Macaca mulatta: one gene and its partner. The protein of the gene in region 1 interacts with the protein of each later gene in a biochemical or structural test. Links are inferred from orthologs where the notes say so. Each region holds a gene or a part of one and is shown on either strand. Other genes may lie near its edges. The genes, in order: MAGEF1 and NSMCE1.

Evidence for each region.
Region 2: the proteins of MAGEF1 (region 1) and NSMCE1 form a complex in vitro, tested with the Homo sapiens proteins (2 studies listed by BioGRID). The link is inferred for Macaca mulatta from reciprocal best matches to the Homo sapiens genes MAGEF1 and NSMCE1.

Annotation. Positions count from the first base shown.
Region 1 is NC_133407.1:96,860,244-96,872,419, reverse strand, and holds MAGEF1 (melanoma-associated antigen F1), read left to right. Parts: upstream 1-5,138; 5' UTR 5,139-5,352; coding exon 5,353-6,279; 3' UTR 6,280-6,809; downstream 6,810-12,176. UniProt on the Homo sapiens protein: Enhances ubiquitin ligase activity of RING-type zinc finger-containing E3 ubiquitin ligases. Proposed to act through recruitment and/or stabilization of the E2 ubiquitin-conjugating enzyme at the E3:substrate complex.
Region 2 is NC_133425.1:26,774,913-26,786,995, reverse strand, and holds part of NSMCE1 (non-structural maintenance of chromosomes element 1 homolog), read left to right. Parts: intron 1-3,981; coding exon 3,982-4,103; intron 4,104-4,893; coding exon 4,894-4,971; intron 4,972-6,004; coding exon 6,005-6,151; intron 6,152-7,011; exon of another isoform or gene 7,012-7,159; intron 7,160-9,915; exon of another isoform or gene 9,916-10,390; intron 10,391-10,444; exon of another isoform or gene 10,445-11,011; intron 11,012-11,479; exon of another isoform or gene 11,480-11,611; intron 11,612-12,083. UniProt on the Homo sapiens protein: RING-type zinc finger-containing E3 ubiquitin ligase that assembles with melanoma antigen protein (MAGE) to catalyze the direct transfer of ubiquitin from E2 ubiquitin-conjugating enzyme to a specific substrate.

The DNA of each region.
Region 1 (12,176 bases):
ACTCTCCTTCAAGGTTTAGAGAGGGGGTGGGACAGTGGAAGAGGGAGAAGGGGAAGAATGAGTAGGGGGCCTTCTGCCCCCTGCCATTCCCCCTCCCCCGCAGGCCAGGGTCTGCTCCTCCTCTGGGTTTGGTATTATATTACAGACACTGGTGAGTCACTGGCAGCCAAACACAGAAGTACTGTTGCTTACACAATTACTCTTCAAACAGTAACAAACAATTTTCATTACCCAAGTCAGATCGAATCATCTGCCTGGCCATCCTGCCTCAATCCCAGCCCCACAGAGGGACCCAAAGCCTCACACTCTGCCCATTCTGCTCTGACAAAACCAGCCTTCAATTTGTCCCAGCCTAGGGATAGGGACAAAGCTCTTCCTCTGATCCCTGCTTGAAGCCGGATCAGCTGCACGGCTATCAAGACTGTCAGGAGAAATAGGGAAGACACAAGCACCTATGCAGCCTGGGGACCATCAGATCTGGGGTGACATGTTACTCAGCACCTATGTGAAGAAGGCATTCAAGAGTTTGGAGGACTCTATTGCCAAGTTTAGAAGGAATCCAACAAGATAACCCTGGCTCCGTACCAAAGTATTCACTGGCCTCAAATAGAGTGTCAGTACTTGACATTTCTTTATTTAATCTTTTTTGGCCAGACAGTTTTTTCAACGAGGAATGTGTAAGCTATTCCGAAATGTCTGTATAAGAGGCCAGTCACCCTCATTACTGGGATTTTTCCACCACGTCTCTTTTAGAAAAGGGTCTGTAATATTTTATATTTATTTCTTAACGGTGGAGCATTTTAAACGCATATTTACATTTATAATCTTGATTGAACTTCAAAATAACTCTGTGAGGATGGGCAAAACAAGGGTTGTCAGGGCCTAAAGATGAGGAAAAGGTGGCTCAGAGAGGTTCAGCAGCCTGTGCAAGGTCACAGAATGGGCGAGTACTGACGTGCTTCAGCACTTTGTACCAGGACACCTCCTCCGCATCTCCACAGCGTGCTGGCATTCCAGGACAGCTCAGCTGCAGATCTACTTTTCCAGTGGAACATCCTTCTCCCTTCCACGTATGAAACTGTACGAAGCACTGTGAGCTTTTGAAGACTCTAGTCTAGGCTAAGAAGGATTCTCTCTCAAGAAGATTCCAACCCAATAGTCATTGAAGTATATGTTTCATCATCTCCCAAACCAAACACATATACCTTTTGTCCCTTTTAAAAGCTTAGGTAAGGAATGTGTTAAAAGTCTGCCTGTTGCCGGGCACGGTGGCTCACGCCCGGTAATCCCAGCACTTTGGGAGGCCGAGGAGGGCGGATCATGAGGTCAGGAGATCGAGACCATCCTGGCTAACACGGTGAAACCCCGTCTCTACTAAAAAACACACAAAAAACTAGCCGGGTGAGGTGGCGGGCGCCTGTAGTCCCAGCTACTCGGGAGGCTGAGGCAGGAGAATGAGGTGAACCCTGGAGATGGAGCTTGCAGTGAGCTGAGATGGCGCCACTACACTCCAGCCTGGACGACAGAGCGAGACTGCATTTCAGAAAAAAGAAAAAAAAAAAAGTCTGCCTGTCCAGTTACATGGTGGACATAATGAAATGAGAAAAATGATTGTTTGCATCCCTCCCACTATAACATGGTAACATCTAGGGACTGGCAAGTGGTAAAGCAAAGTCCATTCACCTTTCTTACTCCTCACCACCTCCCATACCTAAAGGGCTGTTCATTTTTTAAAATCCTTTTTATTTCTATAAATTTTGAGGTATGATTCATACACTATGAAATGCATACCTGCCTGGGTGTGGTAGCTCATGCCTCTAATCCCAGCACTTTGGGAGGCTGAGGCAGGTGGATCACTTGAGGTCAGGAGTTTGAGACCAGCCTGGCCAACATGGTGAAACCCCATGTCTACTAAAAATACAAAAATTAACCAGGTGTGGTGGCACATACCTGTAATCCCAGCTACTCTGGAGGCTGAGGCAAGAGAATCACTTGAACCTGGAAGGTGGAGGTTGCAGTGGCAGGGACTGCAGTGAGCTGAGATTGTGCCACTGCACTACTCCAGCCTGGATAACAGAGTGAGATCCTGTTTCAAAAAAAGAAAAGAAATGCATAGCTATTAAGTGTACAGTCTGACAAGTTTTGACAAATGTATACCTACATCCAAATCAAGACACAGAACATTGCCATCACCTCCGAAAGTTCCTGGATACCCCTTTCCAGTCAACACCACCCCATGCCTCCACTGTCCTAATTTCTATCACCGTAAATTAGTTTATCCTGCCTTGAACATCAAATGGATGGAATCATATTATATGTATAATCTTTTGTATCTTTCTTCTGTCACTCAACATATCTGCCGGACTCATTCACATGGTGTCAGTAATTTGTTCCTTCTTATGAGCAGTATTGTCATTCATTCAGTTCTTAAAATCCAGCCCTATTACCACAGATTTGTCCCTCAAAATTCTTTTCATTTAATGTATCTTCTGCATGCTCCTTTCCATGCATATATCTCCTGCATATCTTCCTGGCAATCCTTGTAGTGAGGAAAATATGCAAGTGGACTATTTTATCTCTAGCCCTGTCCTTTTAGGTATGGGTGGCTCGCTCTACCTTCAGGAAAAACAGATAACCAGGCAGTCTTGCTTCAGAGTTTACAAATCTGGGTTTTCATTTCTTGTCTAGCACTTAACAGATGGGTGGTTTGGGGCAGGTGATTTAACCTCTCTGTGACTGTTTTCCCATTTGTAAATGTGGATAATAATACCTTCTTAATAGGGATTTGTGAGGACTAAATTATATTGTACATAAAATGTTTGGCACAATGAAAACTAATAACAGCCTTGAGCTGGGCTATAATAAACATCTTCTCCTGCTTCATTCACATACTTTCAGTTTTTGTAAGTCATATGATACAAATGGGTATATATTTTCAAAAGTTTTTAAAAGGAAGATTTCATATTTAGATTTAGAAAAGTCTGTCAGATATTTACTTAAAATAAGTAACTGTTATTTCCCAGGGAAAAAAAGTAAAGCATTCTGTCATTTATTCATTGCCAATTATATATCGAGTATTGACTATGAGAAGCTCTTCAAAAGAGTTAAAGACATAGCCCTAGCTTTTAGGATGTTTGGTTTGGGAAGAGTAATAAGATAAGCACAACACATTATAGTACAAAGTATAGTAAATGATAATAATAATTAACATCCACAAATGTAGTGGTTAAGAGCACGGTCTCTGGAGTCATACTATATGGGCTCACGTCCCAGCTGTGTGATGTTGGGCAAGTTGCTTAACCTCCTTGTGTGTAACCTCACCTGGAAAATGGGGCTAATAATACCACTTACCTAGCAGGGCTACAGTATCGGAAAAAAGTGGCCCAGAGTGTTTGAGCATCCTGTGCAAGGTCACAGAATGGGTGAGTACTGACCTGGTTCTGTGCTTTGTCCCAGGACACCTCCTCCACATCTCCACAGAGTGCTAGGCATTCCAGGACAGTTCATCTTGCAATTCTAATATTGTATATTGCATATAAAAATATGCAATAATTAACAGCTAACATTTATTGAATATCAATATGTACCAAGCACTGTGTTAAATGCTTATGTGCGTTACTTCACATAATCTCCACAATGCTGTTACTACTATTATACTCATTTTACTGATAAGGCAACAGAAGGGCAGAAGTTTAGGTAACTTGCCCAAGATTATACAGCCAGTAAGTAGCAAACTGTGCCACAGAAAAGACACAATCATCTATAAAATGGGGATGATGGTATTAGTACCTACATTAGTGAGAATCCGATGAATTAATATTTGAAAAATGCTTAGAATGGAGCTTGGCACCTAATAGGCCTGTATACGTGGTTGTTAACAAATTGCTAAGGTGATTCAGAGATGACAATAAATAACTTCTATGCATGGTGACTAACGAAGGTTTGGGAAGGTGATGTTTAAACTGGGCCCTGAATGGTGGACAGGATTTGGAGAAATGGAGGTAACAAAGAAGGCATTTCAGACAGGGAAAGGAGGGAGGGAGGGAGGGAGGGAGGAAGGAAGGGAGGAAGGAAGGAAGGAAGGAAGGAAGGGAGGGAGGGAGGGAGGGAGGGAGGGAGGAAGGGAGGCAGGAAGGGAAGGAGGGAGGGAAGGAGGGAGGGAGGAAGGTAGAAGGGGAGGAAGGAAAGAAGAAGGGAAGTAAAGAAGGAAGGAAGGAGCAAGAAGCGGAAGCAAGCTCAGAGTCTGTAAAAAGAGAAAAAGAAGAAATACATGGCAGTAGTCAAATTTGACTTGGGCAAAAACAAAAAGCAAAACAAAAACAAACAAACAAAACCAAAAAACTTCCCCTTTCTTCCAACCAGTCCCTATTTCTGCTGTACTTCCTCAGTATATCTTATCATTTTCCTCTGATCCCCATGGAATCTGCTGTCCTTACTCCCTTACCATAATGACCCATTGAATAATATTTATTGAGTTCCTCTCTGTGTCAGGCACTGCTCTAGGCACTGAAGATACACCCCAGTGAATAGGCCAGGTCCCAATTCCTATTTTGCACTATAATAATCCTCCAAACTGGATTATAGCTTTTAGCCGGCCGAACTCCAATCCATCTTCCACAATACCACCAGAACATGAAGACACAGATCTGGTCTGGACACTCACTTGCTTAAATCCCGCTGCAGTATTTTCTCTTTATGTCCAGAATAAATTTCAATCTCCCTAGCATCCCTTACTAATTGTCTCGCACAGTCTTACCTCCCAGCCTTCACCGTGCACTCTGCACTAGAGCCACGGTAAAGCACTGAAAATCCGAGATACACACACTTACAAATAGGCACTTGCAGAAAGAACGTGAGTGGCACTCCATCCCTATTTCATCCCTTGTACACTGAAACTTCCCCAGTCTGCATGCCTTGGATGGGAGAGTCCTGGTTACATTTCCCCGCCCCCGAGTTTTCGAGCCTAAAATCCGGCACAGGGTGCACCCACGTCCCACCCTCCAGGGCACTTCCACTTATAGCAGCCCGGGCACACGCCCCCACCCAGAAGGGGCCGGAAAAGGAGGGGCTTCGCGCGGCGCTAGGGTCGCCATCCTGGCTGAGGTGGCCGGAAGCGGCCCCTCGCGCGGGCGCGGACTGAGGCTGCGCGCCGCAGGTCCCGGCTGCTGGCGGCGTTGCGGCAGCAGGTTTGACTCCCGTGTGGTGCGGCCCAGCAGCTACAAAGTTCCTTCTGCCATTGCTCCTCGTACTCCCGCCGCCCCAGCCGCTGTCCAGCCTCTCCCCCGGGGCTTGCACGGCGGCTTCCACACCCCTCGGCCCGTGCACGCGCTGTGCACCTGCCTGCCCGAAAACATGTTGCAGACACCAGAGAGCAGGGGGCTCCCGGTCCCGCAGGCCGAGGGGGAGAAGGATGGCGGCCATGATGGTGAGACCCGGGCCCGGACCGCCTCGCAGGAGCGCCCCAAGGAGGAGCTTGGCGCCGGGAGGGAGGAGGGGGCTGCGGAGCCCGCCCTCACCCGGAAAGGCGCGAGGGCCTTGGCAGCCAAAGCCTTGGCAAGGCGCAGGGCCTGCCGCCGTCTGAATCGGACGGTGGCGGAGTTGGTGCAGTTCCTCCTGGTGAAAGACAAGAAGAAGAGTCCCATCACACGCTCGGAGATGGTGAAATACGTTATTGGAGACTTGAAGGCTCTGTTCCCGAACATCATCGCAAGGGCCGCAGAGCATCTGCGGTATGTCTTTGGTTTTGAGCTGAAACAGTTTGACCGCAAGCACCACACTTACATCCTGATCAACAAACTAAAACCTCTTGAGGAGGAAGAGGAGGAGGAGGATCTGGGAGGAGATGGCCCCAGGTTGGGTCTGTTAATGATGATCCTGGGCCTTATCTATATGAGAGGTAATAGGGCCAGGGAAGCCCAAGTCTGGGAGATGCTGCATCGGTTGGGGATGCAACCCTCAAAGTATCATTTCCTCTTTGGGTATCCGAAGAGGCTTATTATGGAAGATTTTGTGCAGCAGCGATACCTCAGTTACAGGCGGGTGCCTCACACCAGTCCACCGGAATATGAATTCTCTTGGGGTCCCCGAAGCAACCTGGAAATCAGCAAGATGAAAGTCCTGGGGTTCGTGGCCAAGCTGCATAAGAAGGAACCCCAGCACTGGCCAGTGCAGTACCGTGAGGCCCTAGCAGACGAGGCCGACAGGGCCAGAGCCAAGGCCAGAGCTGAAGCCAGTATGAGGGCCAGGGCCAGTGCTAGGGCCGGCATCCACCTCTGGTGAGGGTTGGTGAAAAGTTGGCCAGTGGGGTCCCCGTGGGGATGAGCTACTGTCCTGAGTCATAAGTAGTATAGGTGGGGCGAGGGTCTTATTTCTGTAGAAATAGTGTGACTTTAAGGATTTAGATTTTGTATCTTATGTTTTGTTACATTTAATAATACTGTTAAAATGCTGTTTGTAAATGAGATTGTTCTACTTTTTCCTGTAGGATTTTGTTGTAGAGTTTTGCTGGTTTTGTAAAATGGCTTGAAGAACTTTGTATTTATACTGTGATTTTGAACAGATTATGGAGCATTGGAAGGAAGGCTGTACTTTAATGGTTTGAAGGAACTCAGCAGTATGATGATCTGGTTCCAGGAGAAAAAATAGCTGATTGGTGTCTAGCCTCCCAATACTTTTGTCTGTTGTATATAAAAGAAGAAAGGCTGGCATGTACCTCCATTTGCTTAGCTATTTGAGTATCTATAGAAAAATTAAAATGTAATGAATTAGTATACCCTGGTACATTTAATAAATTAAACATTTGTGGAGTATCTTGTTTTTTGTGATGCACTGTGTGGGCACTTGGGGTTAGAATACTAAACAAGATAAAGGTCCTGCTTTTTTTCAGAGTTGGAGAGTAAGTAAATAAACGAGAAATTAACAGTGCAGTAAGTTGAAGACTACAAAGGGATATTTAACCCAGCTGGGGTGATTGAGTGAGGTTTGTTGTAATCTCAGCACTTTGGGAGGCTGAGGCGGGCTGATCACCTGAGGTCAAGAGTTCAAGACCAGCCTGGCCACCCTGGTCAGTAGTAGAAACCTTGTTTCTACTAAAATTACAAAAATTAGCCAGGCGTGGTGGTGCACGCTTGTAATCCCAGCTACTTGGGAGGCCAAGGCACGAGAATCCCTTGAATCTAGGAGGTGGAGGTTGCAGTGAGCCGAGATCACGACACAGCACTCCAGCCTGGGCGATAGAGCAAGACCCTTTCTCAGAAAAAAATAAAAAATAAAAATACTGATTTCAGATTACAGCTACTACTCAGTAACATGAGCAGTACTTGATACATGGCAGATCTGGAAAATACCCTACCTTCACCAGTGTCCTCTTTCCAGACCAGATTGTTAACAGTGCACAAAGATGGTGATTGTTAAAATTTTGACCCTTTCTGTCTCCTTTTCAACTTCTACAGGGTTCCCTCTTTTACCAAAGCCCTCAGAGATCAAATAAGGTAATACTTCTGGAATATTATGTAGTGTGAACGAAGGGTACATAAATCTACTACTACCAAGAATTTCCACTTCAAGATTTCTCCTCTGGCACCAGGAAGCCCAGTTCTCCCTTCCATGTTTCAACCTACTGCTTTCCACCTGCCACCTCCCATTTGGAGGAGACTTGTAAGGCATCCCTCCCCTTCATATTATCCGTGGAGAGTCATCCGTAAGCAGCTCTGGCTTCTTCAATGCCCACCACCTTCTGTGAGGATAAATCCCATAGAAAAGGTACTTAGAATAATAGGTAATTTAGAGAAGTGATTCCCAAACCAGAGGGTGGGGGGCAGGGCGGGCAGATAGTGAAACTGTTCCCCTGCAACTGCCATAAACAGAAGAGCTGCTTTCTTTTCTCTTGTCAGTTTTTTCTTCCATTTGTGTCCAAGTAACATCTCTGAGGATGTTAAGGTTGGCATGGAATACAAACTACTTTGGAACATAGGGATCCACCAAATCAGATTGGGACAAAAGCTACCAGTTTATGGGCAAAAAAGTTGGTAATGGTTAAAAATACAACTTCTGAATAGTTTATAATTCATTAAATGTAAATATTGAGTGCCCACTCGGTGCTAACAACATTGATGGGTACCAGAACTATTAAAATGAGAAGACTTGGCTGGGCGTGGTGGCTCACGCGTGTAATCCCAGCACTTTGGGAGGCTGAGGTGGGTGGATCACGAGGTCAGGAGTTCGAGACCAGCCTGGCCAGCATAGTGAAACCCTGTCTCTATTAAAAATACAAAAATTAGCTGGGTGTGGTGGCGCACGCCTGTAATCCCAGCTACTCAGGAGGCTGAAGCAGGAGAATCTCTTGAACCCAGGAGGTGGAGGTTGCAGTGAGCCGATATCGTGCCACTGCACTCCAGCCTGGGCAACAGAGCAAGACCTCCGTCTCAAAAAAAAAAAAAAAGAAGACTGGCTTTGCCCTCTAGGAGCAATAATGATAGTTTCTCACATTTGTATTTTCTCACAGGGATGAGAGGTCAGATTACTGGGTGATTTGCCTAAGGCCTTTTGGTTGGTAAAATGCAGTACCAAGACTATAACCCGAGTCTGTTGCCCCAAAATCCAGTGTGTTTCATTCTAGTACATTGTTCCCCATTCCTAGCCTTCAATTTTGGTCATCACAACTCCAAAAAACAAGTGAGGTGTGTGTAATTATCTCCAGTCACCACTGCAGTTGTTACGGGAGTGAGATAGAGTAGAAATTCTCCCTGTCTTACCAATGACAGAGGTGGCTTTGCTCAAGGTCAAACATGTAGTGGTGCATGGTAAAGACAGGACTAACGGGACCATTGACTAAATATCTACTAAAGGCCAAAGGCATTCTTTTTCTCCTTTTCACAAGCACATTGCAAATACCTCTATTTGACAGACACTAATGATAGTAGTGTTACCAATTATTTTTTTAATACCTAAGATGAGCCAGCTTTTTATGCTTTACATGTTTTAATGATTTTTTTTTTTTTTTTTTGAGATGGAGTCTCGCTTAGTCGCCCAGGCTAGAGTGCAATGGCGCGATCTCGGCTCACTGCAAGCTCTGCCTCCCGGATTCCCTCCATTCTCCTGCCTCAGCCTCCTGCCACACCCGGCTAATTTTTTGCATTTTTAGTAGAGACGGGGTTTCACTGTGTTAGCCAGGATGGTCTCGATCTCCTGACCTCATGATCTGCTTGCCTCGGCCTCCCAAAGTGTTGGGATTACAGGCGTGAGCCACCGCGCCTGGCCTAGTGATTTTTATAACTGTCTTAGAAGATATCATCTGTTCCATTTTGCATGAGGCAAACAGACTCAGATGCTATAAGGGTCTCACAGATAGACCATGACAGAACAAGGATTGGAGATGAAATCTGAGTCAAGAGGTCGCACTTTTCACTATTGTACATTTCCTTCTTGAGATTCCTTCCAGACTTGAGTCATTTGTCTCCTGAATCATCTTCTTTCTTCAGACACCACTGTCTCTCTGGAGATGCAAACAAGGGCTGTGTAGCCAAGGTAATTATGAGAAGTCGCTGCCCAGCAGGTAAAAATGAGGATAAAATACAGTTGGGGCATTATCTTTGAATGTTGGTCCCAGCTCTACCTACTCTTCCCAGTGTTCTCAGAGTGCTGGCTACAAGTAGAATGTATTTTTGCTCAAACTTAGCGTATTTTGCCCTTACAAACTGTGTTTCCTCAGTCTTCAGTCTGCCCTCTCCACTAAACTTCAAATTCATCTTTCATGCCATGGAATAATCAAATAGCATTTGTGGATCTGCAAATATGATTCCCAGCACTGTTTTCAAATAATACAAAATGCTGGCACAACTGGTACCCTTGCCTCAGGATGAAAGACCTCCATTGCAGATGTCCTTATCAGCTTCCCAGAAGTGCTAATAGTGTGGTCTCTGGGCCCATATGTGGAGCAGACATTGGCCATGTTAAGGGCAAGACACAGATTCTTCTCTTGCTTATGGCCACTCACATGAGGGAGAAGGAAGGCCTAGATCCCCCCTCCTGCCCCCTTCAGACACACACAGAACTAGATCTTCCTGGGTGAAACACTGTGTGTGTGGGGCAGGGAAGATTTGGTTGAGGGAGTGTTGGCAGATGGATTACTCCAAATCATATTTATTATAGTGCAACTAGGAAGCAAAGCCAGTGAAGGAAATTCCCTCGAAAACTATGAATCAGAGACTGATTTGAGTAATAATAAAACTCTGGTCTCTCGCACAGCCGGCTCTGCATGAATTACTCTTTCTCTATTGTAATTCCCCTGTCTGATGAATTGGCTGTCTAGGCAGTGGCAATGTGAACCCTTTCGGCAGTTACAAATTTGGGGGCTCATCCGGGATTCATCGCTGGAGGGGGGCCAGTGAACCATGGACAGGTAGCCCCACTCCAATGATGGATCCAGAAGCCAGCCCAAGCAGTCACCTAGTTCTCTTGAACTGGGGGCTAACTCCAGTACTCTGTACTGGCAGGGTGCTGCCAACCCAATGTGCATGGATTTAATTACAATGGAGAAATAGTCCCAGGGAGACATCCCTTAACTGTAGCCCTATCACAGGGTGTCTATTGTATCCCCAGTGTGGGATGTCTGGTGAGTATCCTAGGTGCTGCCAACACCTTCTTCCTTCTCCTGACTGGTTCTGTAGCCCTATGGTGGGGTGTCTGTAGCTCCATTGCGGGGTGTGTGTTTGGCTCCTGGGCGGGTCTTGGTTGGCTCTTTCTAATCAGTAGGAAGAGTCCTGGTTTGAGAGACTTCTCTTCAATCAGGAAGATTTCGAGGAGGTTTCTCAGAGAATAGGAGAATAGTTTGGAAGGGACACTCTTGGAGTTCTAGGTTAGGGATCTGATTTGGAAGGCCATCTGTCCATCTCATTTTTGTGTGTGTTTGTATATGTAGAAAGCATCTCAGAGGGGTTGCTAATGAAAGTCCAGCAGGCCTAACTCAGAGAACTCTCCTTATTTGTCTGGTCACATTCAATGAGCTCTAAAGAAGGCTCAACAGGCCTCTCGGGGTAACTGTCTGGTCTTCCCCTTGCTCAGAGACCCCATTGTGAATTACCGTTCAGAGGTCATCCATCCCCACCTGGAGTGGGTCAAAGACAACAGGGACCAATGGAAAAATTTTGACCTTTGCTAGGCTGATACTGGGTGCTGCACGAAGTGACTAATGTCTGTTTTGTTATGTGTATTTTGCTGGGATGGAAAATGTTAATTCGGTTCCCCATGTAGCCCATTGGGCAGCATCTTGCAAACTGAGAATCTTGTCTTTGGTTCCATAAAGCAGGAAAGGGTGATTTTCTCTTGTAAGTGACTTAAACCCCACAGCTATAGCACAAGCAAGCAGGGTCACCAGAAGCTGCTTCATTCTTCTGGAAGCTGCAGAGAAAGGGAACCCAGAAACCTGGTATCCCAACAAAAAGGTAAGAAATTCTTACCAGCCAAGTTTCTTGTCTCTTTCTCTTTGTCTGGATAAACAGTGAACTATTTGTCTCCTCTGCAAGGGTTTGATTAATAGAAAAAAGGACTTGTGAGACTAGTCTTAGGCTGTAGCACATCTGGTGTACTTTGTGCAAAGAATTTGTCTTTCTGTGTTCTGTAATGGAGAGAGGGCTGCCACAGGATAGAATGTGGGTTTAGGACCCCTATAAGCCTGCTTTTCAAGTCAGCTTGGCAGGCTGGTCAGTTACACATTTTGCTACGGGTCCCTGAAACGAATACTCTATGAAATTTCTCTGTCTTGTTTTGTGTCCTTAAGAGCTTAACCTTGTGACCATGTGTGGATACTTTTTTTCGTTTCCACCAGCCAGAGCACAGGAATTTTGGGGTTCATGTCATAGTCCTAAAAGTTTTCCCTGAACAGTTAAAAGCCTTGCAAGCTTGAAATTGGCTTCTCTATGCTCCTTCTGGGAAAAGCAACAGAAGCTTCTCAATGCTGTATAGCTCAGTAGCTAAGCCTTTATCTTTTGACAGTGGTGGCCTGGGTTCAATTATTGGCTTCTGGAGTGATTCCTTTCTGGTTTGTTATTTGTGTAACTTTGCCATTTACTGAGATTTTTTTCTTTTATAAATAGCTTCTGATTTCCTGTCTTGAATTTTCCTTTCTCTGAACTACCTTGTGGAGATTCTAAATCTTGTAAAAAAAAAAAAAAAAAAAA
Region 2 (12,083 bases), on another chromosome or scaffold:
TGCCACCTTAGCACTTAGTGGGCATCGTAAGGGTCTTGGGAGCAAGCAAGAGACCCCAGTTCTGAGAAAGGAATGTGTCGGGGCTGGGCGTGGTGGCTCACGCCTGTAATCCCAGCACTTTGGGAGGCTGAGGTGGGCAGATCACTTGAGGTCAGGAGTTTGAGACCAGCCCGACCAACACAGTGAAATCCCATCTCTACTGAAAATACAAAAAATTAGCCAGCTGTGGTGGTGAAACACCTGTAGTCCTAGTGCCTGGGGAGGCTGAGGCAGGAGGATCACTTGAACCTGGGAGGTGGAGGTTGCAGTGAGCTGAGATTGCGCCATTGCACTCCAGCCTGGGCGACGGAGTGACACTCCATCTCAAAAAAAAAAAAAAAAAAAAAAAAAGGAATGTGTCGAGATGCTATTGGGGGAGGGACACGTAGGATTCATTGGTGGCCAGGTGCGCAGTTGGGGACGGGCAGGAAGCATGGCACCACTGCATGGCCAGAGCAGCTGGCCCTCTATAGTGTCTAGGCTGGAGCCACCTCCAAGCTTCCTTTTGTCCCTTGCTCAGATTGCGAAAGTGTCTGGCTGGTGTGGGTTCTCTGTCTACTCCTGGCTGCCCTAATCTCTGGTCCCTTCAGCTTTCTGCTTTCTGGTTCCCTGAATATTGTACCTGGAATTATTCTCTCACCAAAACCGCAAATGTAAGAGAAAGACAATTCTAAAAAAAAAAAAGAAAGAAAAAAGGCGAAGGTCTCATTAGGGAGGGACATGGCTGCTGGGCTGGCAGGCGTCACCAGCTGACTCCTGTTTCAGGGTGGCCGGACACAGCAGCTGGAGCACCGTGTGATGAGGAAGGAAGTGCTGGAGCCGTGGGAGGACAGAGCTGGGAAGTGCAGCTCATCTGGTTGGGGAAGGCCTGTACAGCAGGCTGCCAGAGGACCAGGAGGCTGGGGTCCAGCCAGGGGTAGTGGTGGAGAGGCGGGAGGGAAGAGGGTTCTGGACATGTGTGAGGCTGGAGGTGAGACCGTGTGTGGCTGTTAGAGATGAGAAGTCGGGGAGAGACTCTCACAGGGCCCCACAGAGCGGGAGGGCAGGACGGGCTGGAGCCCACACCCTGCTGCCAGTCCCATGGCACCACACCGCCTCTGTTGCTGCCAAAAGGAGTCAGTTGAGGGGTTTGCTGAGCGTAAGAGAAGTTTCTTCTCAGGTCACAATTAAGAGGCGCTGCAAGGGCGTGGGGCCTCCATGAGAAACAGTTACAGGGTCAGTGATGGAGATCGTGGACACGACCCTGATGCAGGAAGCGTGTGGAAGGAAGGAGAGGGCGATAGCGGAGAGAATGGGAGCGCCCAGGCGGTGGCTGGTGTCTGCAGTGAGCGAGTACAGTAGGAGGAAGTGGTTGGTCAGATAAAAATACAGCAAAACATTCATGGTTTCTGAAAAATGAGGCCGGACGCCAAACCAGAGGCAGTGGGGAGAGGGGAAGGGCAGAGAGGGCTGCTGGCTGCCTCCCCGCAATGGGGTGTCTGGAAAGTCCAGTAGATCAGAATGCCTCTCATCTGCCCACAGGGCACATTGTTCTCAGTGACACCCAGGAGGGGCCTCGTTAGTGGAAAATGTGAGTTGTCAGTTTCAGAGGGAGGTGGGACTTGCCCTGGTGTCACACTGGGTGGACAGGGCTCCTGTCACTCACTCTGCACTGAGCAAGGCTTTTTGGTGTCTGGGCCCCTTGCGTCTGAGCTCCCCAGCACTGGCTGCCCTTGGGGGTGGAAAAGCGTGTCTGCCCAAGTCACCGGCACAGGCAGGTACGGAACAGCTTGGCTCCCACGCCAGCGAAGAGCTGCCTTGCGTGGTGTGGAAGAGGAAGACAGCATCGGGGGCAGAAGAGAACATTTCCTGGAAAAACAGGCCATCGAGGTGGCTGCAGCAGTGGAGGGAGAGCTTTTCAGAAAGGAGGGACCCGTGAGCAGAGGCGTGGAGGCAGGAAGTCAGGCCATGCCTCTCAGTCCTGATGCCTGCTCTCCAGCCACCGAGGCCAGATGCCATTGTCTCATGTTACGATTGCACCATGTCCATGTTCCACCCACTTATTATGACTACTTTTTAATTTAAACTGCCTTTTAAAAACTTTATTTAAATGGAAGGTTAGCTCCTCGCTGAGCATGGCGCGTTAGTGTCACTGCCCTGGGCTTTGTTCTTGGCTTTTCTGGGCGCCCACAGTCTGATCCTCTGATAGAGCTCACTGGCCTGGGTTGTCCTTGACTCTTTCACACGGCTATGTCCTCCATTTTCACCAGCGTGATCTTGTTTTTTTTTTTTTTTTTTTTTTAACTTTATGGATCTTGAGTTGTATGGGTAGCTTAGAAATGCCTCTGTCTATAAGAAATCAAACATAGACACACAGCGTGAGGGCGCTGTGATGACCCCCGTTTAGTCCCTTCCTGGCAGTGGCCTTGGTCATCAGTCCAGTGGGCAACCTGCTGGGCCTTTTCCTGTGGGACCGTTTCATTGGTTCTGTTTTTGTTTCACACGAAATGTATCAGATTGTCTGTTTTTTCTTGCAGTTTTTTTTCCAAAATGATTTTCTAAGGCATGAATCTTTTGAAATTATTTATTTTAATACATAAAAACAGTGAAAACAGTAATACATACTCTTGCTTTAAAAAGTTTCGCAGCACAAGCTCATTCCTGTAATCCCAGCATTTTGGGAGGCCGAGGTGGGCGGATCACCTGAGGTCAGGAGCTCGAGACCAGCCTGGCCAACATGGTAAAACCCTATCTCTACTGAAAATACAAAAACTAGCTGAGCGTGGTGGTGGGCGCCTGTAATCTCAACTCCTCGGGAGGCTAAGGCAGGTGGATTGCTTGAACCCGGAGGTGGAGGTTGCAGTGAGCCAAGATTGCGCTACTGCACTCCGGCCTGGGCGATAGTGAGACTGTCTCAAAAGACATGACTGTCTCACAGCATGAAAGGTACACAGCGCTGGACATGTCCTTCCACTGCTTCCAGTGCTCAGAGGCTTCCTGGTGCCACAGGAGAAAGGCCCTGCTGTCCCCGGCCACAGGCCCTGTGTGATCTGGCTCCCTTCCCCACCGCAGCCTCTCTGCCCTCCTTCCTTCCCTGGCTGATCAGTGTCCATTCAGCTGAGCCCCCGGCCATACTGTGGGTACCCCCTCCTCAGACTGATGGACCTGGATGGTGGCCCCTGGGCTGTGAGCGTCCTGCTGGCAGGGCCAGGGGAGGTGGGTGACAGAGAGGTCAAAGCCCCGGCCTTGTGGTACAACTCTGGGTGAGTCAGTTCACCTTTCTGCGTCTCAGCCTCTTTCCCTGTGCCCAGAGAGCTGCTGGAGGGTGGATTCATGATGACAAAGGGTGCCCGGGACAGGGCCTCTCCATGCTGAGGGCTTGCTGCAAGCCGCCCTTCTCACCCCGGTTGTTGTTATTCTTACTGTTCCAGCCCAGGACCTAGCACAAGCCTGGCATGTAAGTGAGGATAAGTGGACACTGAATAAAAAAAGAAAGGAATAAAGCTCCACCTAAGACGTGTGGGGACGCAAAGGGACAGAGGCCTCTCGCGGGGCACTGGGGACGAGGTAGAACGGCTGAGATGGGATGGGATGTGTGTGCAGCGGGAGCTTAGTGCACGCTCTGAGCATGTCATTGAGTGATACGCTGAAGGTGCTGATCCAGACTCTCATCGGGAGGCAGCGAGCAAAGACAGGAAGCCCGCGGCAGCCTCCGTGGTTGCAGATAGCATCTCCCCGGCCCTCCTGCCTCACAACGCCCTCCATCTGTTGTCTGTTTGTCTTCCAAGTACTCCAGGAAGAAAGAAGCCACACGGCACTGGCATTCACCCAAGAGGCTGCAGCCTCCGCCCGTGTCTGGGGTTGCTGTCCCCTGTGTTGAGATGGGATGGAATGATTCAAGCAAACTACGTTTTTTTGATGAGGCCCCCCATCACACCCCTTTTTTGGTCTGTTTATTTCCAGGCAATGCCACTGTAGATAAGTTGGAGGACTTCATCAACAACATTAACAGTGTCTTGGAGTCCTTGTATATTGAGATAAAGAGAGGAGTCACGGAAGATGACGGGAGACCCATTTATGCGTTGGTGAGTGCCCGGCAGAGCCCTCTAGTGGTGTTTTTGAGGAGCTGGAACAGGGCCCAGGCAGCCCGTGTTTGCTTTGGTTTGATTTCTCTTTTGGACAGTTCTTTGTAAAGAAGTCACTCCAAATGTATGGAATATTAGGAATAAAGGGAGAAATGGTTTTTTACTTAGAATAAGACATAGAAGCGATGAAAAGAAACAGTGTGTAGGAGTGTCAAGGATTGCGACCCACGTGGGGTCTTCAGTGGTTTTCAGATTTACTCTCACAGGTAGGGATCAGGGTGAAAACACAGGAGTGGGAAGCTGACATGCCCCATCCCTGGCTAGGAGACACCTCGGGCTGGTCAGAGGACATCTGGCTGCTCCCAGCCAGGCTCACACTCAGAAAGGAGCACTCTAGTCCAGGGTTTCCAAAACATTACACAGGCAAAGAACTATGGAAATGCTGGTCAGACACGGCAAAGCAGATTTCCTTGCTGTCGGACTTCTCAGTGCCTTTTGCATTTGAAGCTCCATTAACATGTAGACAAATCTCCCAAATTTATCTGAGTTTGGAAAATACTGCACACCCTCTGGAGTTCTGAAACTTCTGAGGGTCTAGCATGTTGACTGAGCTAAAGAATAAAGTCTGTAGTATATGCCTGGTTACAGATCCATCCTGCGGCTCGCAGTGCCTGGATACAGGAGCTCAGTGACTGGCCAGAGACGGAGGAGGGGAGGGAGGGAGAGCCAGCGACACGTTAACCAACACGCGAAGGGCACAGCCTGACTGTTGCGCTGACTTATTTCTTAGGTGAATCTTGCTACAACTTCAATTTCCAAAATGGCTACGGATTTTGCAGAGAATGAACTGGATCTGTTTAGAAAGGCTGTAAGTAGAGTAATCCCCGTCGCCCATTGGCTGGGCTTCTTATGGGAAAGTTCTTTCTCAGTCGTTAGAAGTGGCAACTGCAGTCTTCAAGGATCACTGCGGGGGACGTGGGCCACCACTGCTGTCTGAGGAAACGCTTTGCAGGGAGATATCACTGTCTACCCATCTGGAATTCACAGCTGTCAGGGGCCCCCATGGCTGCCTGGGAAGGAAGTGCTGGGCCAGGTGTGAGCCCCAGCTGGATGGGCAAGAGCAGGGCCTCACTGGTAGTAACAGGCGTTCCTACCTGGCTGCTGTTAAGTGCCATCTGGGAAAGGCAGCAGCAGCAGCAGCATCACCTGGGAGCTTGTTAGAAAGGCCCAGTCCCAGTCCCTACCCTAGACTGCTGAGTCCGAATCTGCATTTTTGCCAGGTGCCCGCTGAATCATTTGCATGTGCACATTTGAGCGGCATTGCTCTACCAGGCTTCAGAGCTACTTGCTCGGCCCTCTGGTCAAACATATGGCTAAGAGTGGTTCTCGGGCCTACATAACTGCAGAGGTGAGAAAGAATTCAGACATTTCAGCCCCACTTGGGATCTGTCGAATCTGAATCTCTGAGAACCAGGTGTTGGAATCATTCCTTTGAGGTCTTCTCCTGGGGTTTATTAGCTGCCAGGGTTGAGGAGCAGGTGCTGAGCTGAGCACACATCTGCGTGTGCAGGAACCTGTCTTCTCCAGAGGTTCCTGCCTGCCGTGTCTGTCTCTCGCTGCCTCTGAGGCCAGCTGTGAGGCAAGGTGACCCTTATTGATTTGGGGACATTAAGATGATTTATTTGGGAGGATGTTATCGAAGTGACCTCTGAGTCAAAAGAACTGAGCACAGTCCTGACTCTTGATGCGTATTACATTGTTTTCCCCGAATACCGTGCCAGTGTGCAGTTCTGCCTGTGATCCGAGTGGCCTTACTGCACCCCTGCCAGACTTAGTATTACCATTTAAAAGTTATTTTTGCCATTTTAATAGAGAAGCATGGTACCTGCTCTTTCTTCCAGCTGGAACTAATTATTGACTCAGAAACTGGCTTTGCGTCTTCCACAAACATTTTGAACCTGGTTGATCAACTTAAAGGCAAGAAGATGAGGAAGAAGGAAGCGGAGCAGGTGCTGCAGAAGTTTGTCCAAAACAAGTGGCTAATTGAGGTACTGTCTCATGGTTTTCCAGTCCGGCTCACTCTTTTGAGTGAATAGCAGTTTTGTCTCCAAAATCGTATTTCTAGCCAACTGATGTCTGTGGAGCCCAGCCTTCTCAGATCCCTTATCTGCTTTCACTCTTTTGAGTGAATAGCAGTTTTGTCTCCAAAATCGTATTTCTAGCCAACTGATGTCTGTGGAGCCCAGCCTTCTCAGATCCCTTATCTGCTTTCACGCATTCCAGCAGTGACCCCATGGGGAGGATCTGGGCCTCACCTCTCCTGCCTCCCACTCCCTGTTCACCCACATGATGTGTTGAGGATGCCACAGCCAGAATGGCAGAGCCAGGAGCTGCACCCGGGATTTGGGCCCCGGGACCAAGCCTCTAGCCCACAGACTGCAAGGCAGAGGCAGTTCCGTGGCTGAGAGTGTGGCTGTGATGTCTGACCCGGGTCTGAACCCTGAGCCAGGTGACCTCAGGTTCCCTGTAAGAGGGAAGTTGTCGTTTCCCCTTTGGGGCTGGGTGTGTCAGGAGCAGGAATGGGACCTCACAGTAACGTGCTCCGTGCTGCGCTGGCTGGCTCGCGGGGGAGGCAGCAGAGGAATTGGCGACGTTACCACTGTTGTTTTTGTCAGCAGTGAGTTCCTCAGGGTCAGTACTTAGAAGAGGCACAGACAAGCTTTAGGAAAGGAGCTGTGACGTCTGGGACAGGCCCCACTGCAGCTCCAGTTTCTAGATGCTGCCCCGCCCCCACGTCTAGTCCTGCTGAATGGAGCAGAACAAATGTTTCAGTTCTTTTTCCACAAAAGGCACCCCTGTTTTCAACAGCGTAGTGTTTGCTGAGTTGACCATTGCTGTGCCCTCCCAGATGCTCGTGCCCGTGTGTGTTGAGGACGCGCTCACGTCGGGTTCCCGCTTCCTCACTTGGTGGTCGGACTTGTGGCCAGAGGCTGCTGCTTGTGGCTGCAGCGACTCTCCACTTCCTGTTCAGGAAGGCTTGCCTCCGGATTGGGGAAGTCTGTGTTCTGAGTTACTAATTTCTGTGTAGGGTGGGCCTGTACCAGGAACCTGACCCAAATTCAGTTCCTGGGGTACCTGATGGGAAGAAAGGGTGGAGAGGTCACGGGGTGAGGGCAGAGGTCACAGGGGTGAGGTCAGGGCTGGGAGCTCCTGGTGAGTGCAGGATCTGCTGGGCACATTCCCGTATGTCCTGTCTCGGAGGCTGCCTGCTGTCCTGCAGTGGCTCCATAGCTTAGTTTTTAGCTGACAGCTCAGGGGTCTGGATGACATCGGACAACAGCTCAGGGGTCTGGATGACATCGGACACCCTGAGAGTGGCAGGGCCGAGTTCAGGCCCCAGTTTGGGGACTGCAGCTCCCATCAATGGCTTTGTCACAGTTTTTCTTGCCCTCCGGGCTGTATTTGGTACTAGAGAATGTTCTAGGGTCTGCTGAGGTTATAACTGACGATTCTCGCTTGTGGTGCAGCCCCTCTTAGGGCCAAGTTTTTTTTTTTTTTTTTTTTTTGAGATGGAGTTTCGCTCTTGTTGCCCAGGCTGGAGTGCAATGGTACAATCTCGGCTCACTGCAACCTCCACCTCCTGCTTCAAGTGATTTTCCTGCCTCAGCCTCCCAAATAGCTGGGATTACAAGCATGTGCCACCATGCCTGGCTAATTTTTGTATTTTTAATAGAGACGGGGTTTCTCCATATTGACAAGGCTAGTCTCGAACTCCTGACCTCAGGTGATCTGCCTATCTCGGCCTCCCAAAGTGCTGGGATTACAGGTGTGAGCCACTGTGCCCAGCCATGGGCCAAGTTTCTTAAGGGCAAGGGTTATGACCTCTTCATGGCTGATTCCCATTGCAGAATCTAGTGCGTGGCACCTCAGGCGCTCAATAAATGCTTGCTGATTGGATGACTGAACGGGTGGATGAGGTTACAGAGGAACAGAGTTTAAAACTTACAAAAAATGTTACAGGAAATACCTGTTCATTATAGGAGGATTACAACATGTCAAGATGCATAAAGAAACCCACTGAAGTCACCTGTTATCCCAGCCCCTAGAGCCAAGTGCCCCAACATTCCATTTCACAACACTTTGCAGCCTGCTTTGCACCCAAGAGCATGCGTGCCTAGCACACGCCACCACCATTGTGCATGGCTTGCAGGGCGTGCCCCCAGCTTTATGATTTGACTTGCCCTTTGTCTGCCCTTGGTGTCTGGAGAGGGCTGTGGTGGATAGGAGAGGCACCGCCCTTGGAGTCTGTGGGGGTGAGCTGTGGCTGCAGGCGCTTGTACTCTGTGCCTTTCTCAGTTCGGTGGCAGTGCTGGCACCGCCTTCTGCAGGGCGCCTCTGAGCTCGAGGGAGGGTGGATAGAGGATCCGGGAGCTGCCACCTGCAGGAGCGCTGCAGAAGTAGCAGGGGGCCCTCAGCACTGGTGCTGGGCAGTCGCCCTGGAGAGGCTTCTTGTTGACTGCCTGGCCTGCTGGGGCCCTGAGGAGGACGAAGGAACAAAGCTCATGTGGCAAGAGCTGCGTAGTGAGACTCCTCCAGGTTCCTCTGCCGCCTGTGGCAAGCAGCTTCTTGTTGCAGAGACTGTTTCCTCATCTGCAGGATGGAGACACTGCCAGCTCCAGGTTTCTGTGAGGGTCCAGTGCTCTCTGACCTACATGGCCTGGTAAGGGTTGCCCTGAGGTCTGCGGCACTCTGGAGGAACCGCTGAGAACAGGGGTGGGGTGCTCATGTACCCAGGACAGGTCTTCCTAGGGCAGCACCTCGATCAGAGAGACCACACGTCAGCGTCTGATCCTTGGCTTCTCAGACACAGGGCTTCCCACAGAAACAGCCAGGGGTCCACTGCCAAGGCCCTTCCAGGTGGGCATATCACCCCAAGGACATGTCACTCCTAGACAGCCAGTCCTGTGCGAGACTGGCTCAGCATGGAGGTGCTGAGGCAGCTGCCGGTCCAGGAGAAGGCCCAGGGGTGGTGGGTGGTTGGGGTCAGCAGAGAGGCTTCTGAGAGCAAGCGCGGCTCATGGGAGCTGGACGTCTGCTGATGGACGCACCTCCATGCACCCCAGGACTGCTCCCTACAAGAGGTCCTGACTTCCAAGTGTCGTGGCGAGGTGTCTGGGAGATTGCCTGGGCTCTCGTCTTCTCTGAGGGCTAGGGCACCCCTCCTACCCCTTCCCTGATGGGCCCACAGAGGACTGAGTGGGTCATGAATGGTGAGCCTTGGGTGCAGTTTCAGGTGCATAGTAGGTGTTCAGTAAATGCAGCTTGGCTGGGCACAGTGGCTCACACCTGTAATTCCAGCACTTTGGGAGGCTGAGGCAGGTAGATCACTTGAAGTCAGGAGTTTGAGACCAGCCTGGCCGACATGGTGAAACCCTGTCTCTACTAAAAATATAAAAAATTAGCTGGGTGTGGTGGCGGGCACCTGTAATCCCAGCTACTCGGGAGGCTGAGGCAGTAGAATCACTTGAACCCTGGAGGCAAAGGTTGCAGTGAGCTGAGATTGTGCCATTGCACTCCAGCCTGGGCAACAAGAGTGAAACTGTCTCAAAAATAAGTAAATTTAAAAAAATAATAAAAATAAATGCACCTCCTGCCTCAGTCTAAGCTTGAACTTGCTCACAGTGTGAGGCACTCCTCTGGGATCAGTGCAAGGTCTACTTCATCTTCCTGTGGGCCTGCCAAGTGCTGGGCCCCACAGCAGGTGCTGCGGACACTGGAGTGAGCAAAACCAGAGCTGGTGGCCACTCCCACGGGGCCGTGGTCTGGAGGGAGAGCCCAAGAGCAGTGAGACGGTCATCCCACTGCAGTCCAGGTACAGATGGAAAGGAAACATGGCTTTATGACAGCTGTCCCAGAGGAACTGGCCCTCAGCTGCTGAGTAAGTGACACTCAAGCTGAAGGCTGTGTGGGAGTTGCCTGGAGCCTGGGGTGGGAGGATCATCAGCCCAGCAATGGCCCTGTGGCCAGTGAGTGTGCTCAAGAAGCTAAGGCCAGGGCCATCTGAGCACAAAGATTGCTGGGGAGAGCAGACGAGGGCAACCCGGGAGATACATGCATTAGGGGCTTGGCCCTTGGACCTAAGGGTGGTGGGAAGCCCTCGGGCGGGGGTGAGGTGGGAGTGACAGGGCCAGGCTTGTTTTGTAGCAAGCACATTGCTGGAGGAGAGTGGGCTCAGAGAGCTGCAGGAACAGGGGAGGGTGGAAGAGGGTGGAGGCTGGGGAGGTGGGGTGCCGTGATGGATCTGGAGGAGGGTGGAAGGCAGCAGTGACCGGGGATGTGAGGTGCCGTGATGGATCTGGAGGGGAGGGTGGAAGTGGGTGGTAGCCAGGGAGGTGGGGTGCCATGATGGATTTGGGAGTTTTGGGGAAGGTAACAGCCATGGGACCGAGGACCGAGGACTGAGGACGGCCTGAGGGCTGGTCACATCCTCCCATTGCCCACAGCACTTGGAGAACACAAAGCCCCTGTGCACCAACAGCCGCCGTGCAGGGCATAAGCACCTGGTACCCTGGCCTCCCTCCACTGCTCCCGCAGCGGCTGTCCCTGCCCCAACCCCATGCCTCTACCCTGCCTCCCTTCCTGTGCTCACCCAGCCCCTCTACTGGTGTTCCAGAGTGAATGCACTGCAAGCCCAGGTTATGCAAGCACACCCCCTCCACACTGCACTCTGGGGATGGAGGCAGGAATGGGGTGGGGGGGCTCTACCTGTCAGAAACAGGAGTGGGCCGGGTACGGTGGCTCATGCCTGCAGTCCCAGCACTTTGGAAGACCAAGGTGGGTGGATCACCTGAGGTCGGGAGTTCAAGACCAGCCTGGTCAACATGGCAAAACCCCATCTCTACTAAAAATACAAAATTAGCCGGTGGTGGCACACACCTGTAATCCCAGATACTCTGGAGGCTGAGGCAGAAGAATTGCTTGAACCCAGAACACGGAAGTTGCATTGAGCCAAGATCATGCCATTGCACTCCACCCTGGGCAACAGGAGCAAAACTCCATCTCAAAAAAAAAAACCAAAAAACCAAAAAACAAAAACGGGAGTGACAGCTCTTGCTTGTAAAAATTAGAAAATAACAGGAAAGGCAGCTGAGCACTCGAGTGACTCGCAGGCTTCAGTGACGCCATCTCCTGGCGCGGTTCACGTCCGATGCATGAGCTGACTGTGGAGAAACTGGAATCAGCCTGCCTGGGTCCGTGTCCTGGGTCCGTGTCATTTGCCTCCCTTGGGTCTCCCTCAGTGCTGCCTCTCTCCTGTGACCTGGCAGGCGGGTCAGCCTGGGGAGCTGTGTTCTTCATGTGCTGCCTGGTTCTCCCAGGGTGTTCAGGATGCATGATGGGTGACCGCACCCTGGCGTGGGAACCAGGAGGCCTGGCTTCCGTTGGAGGCTCCACTGCCCATGGTGTGATGGGGCCCGTCTGCCCTCTCCAGACTCCTTCCAGCTCCGTCTGTAAAGTGATGTGGCCGGAAATGATCTCTGAGGGTCCCTACTGCAGTTGGAGGCAGAAATGCTGGGAGGCACCGGGGATGCTGCTTTTTGGGAGTGGGATGGGTGGCGGATGGAAGCAGTGGGTGCTCGGGTTTGTGCCCTGGGGAGACTGACCCCTTGTGGGCCTCAGCGTCCTCATCTGCAGGAGGGCTGTGACTGCCTCGCTCGGGGCTGCTGTGCAGACAGAGCAGTCACGTCTGAAGGCACAACAGGTGCTGAGAAAAGGGCGGTGTCGGGGAGCTGTGCCTCCATGCCTTTTGGGCCTTTGCCTCAGTTTCCCTTGCTGAGGCTCTGCCAGGGGGACGTGGCTGATGCCCGTTGTCTGGGGTTGGTGCAAAGGTGCCTAGACCCTTGTGTCTTCCTGAGCACAGGGCTGTGGGATCACAGAGGGAACAGAGGTAGTGAATGGGGAGAGGGCCTGGCTGAGGGTGGC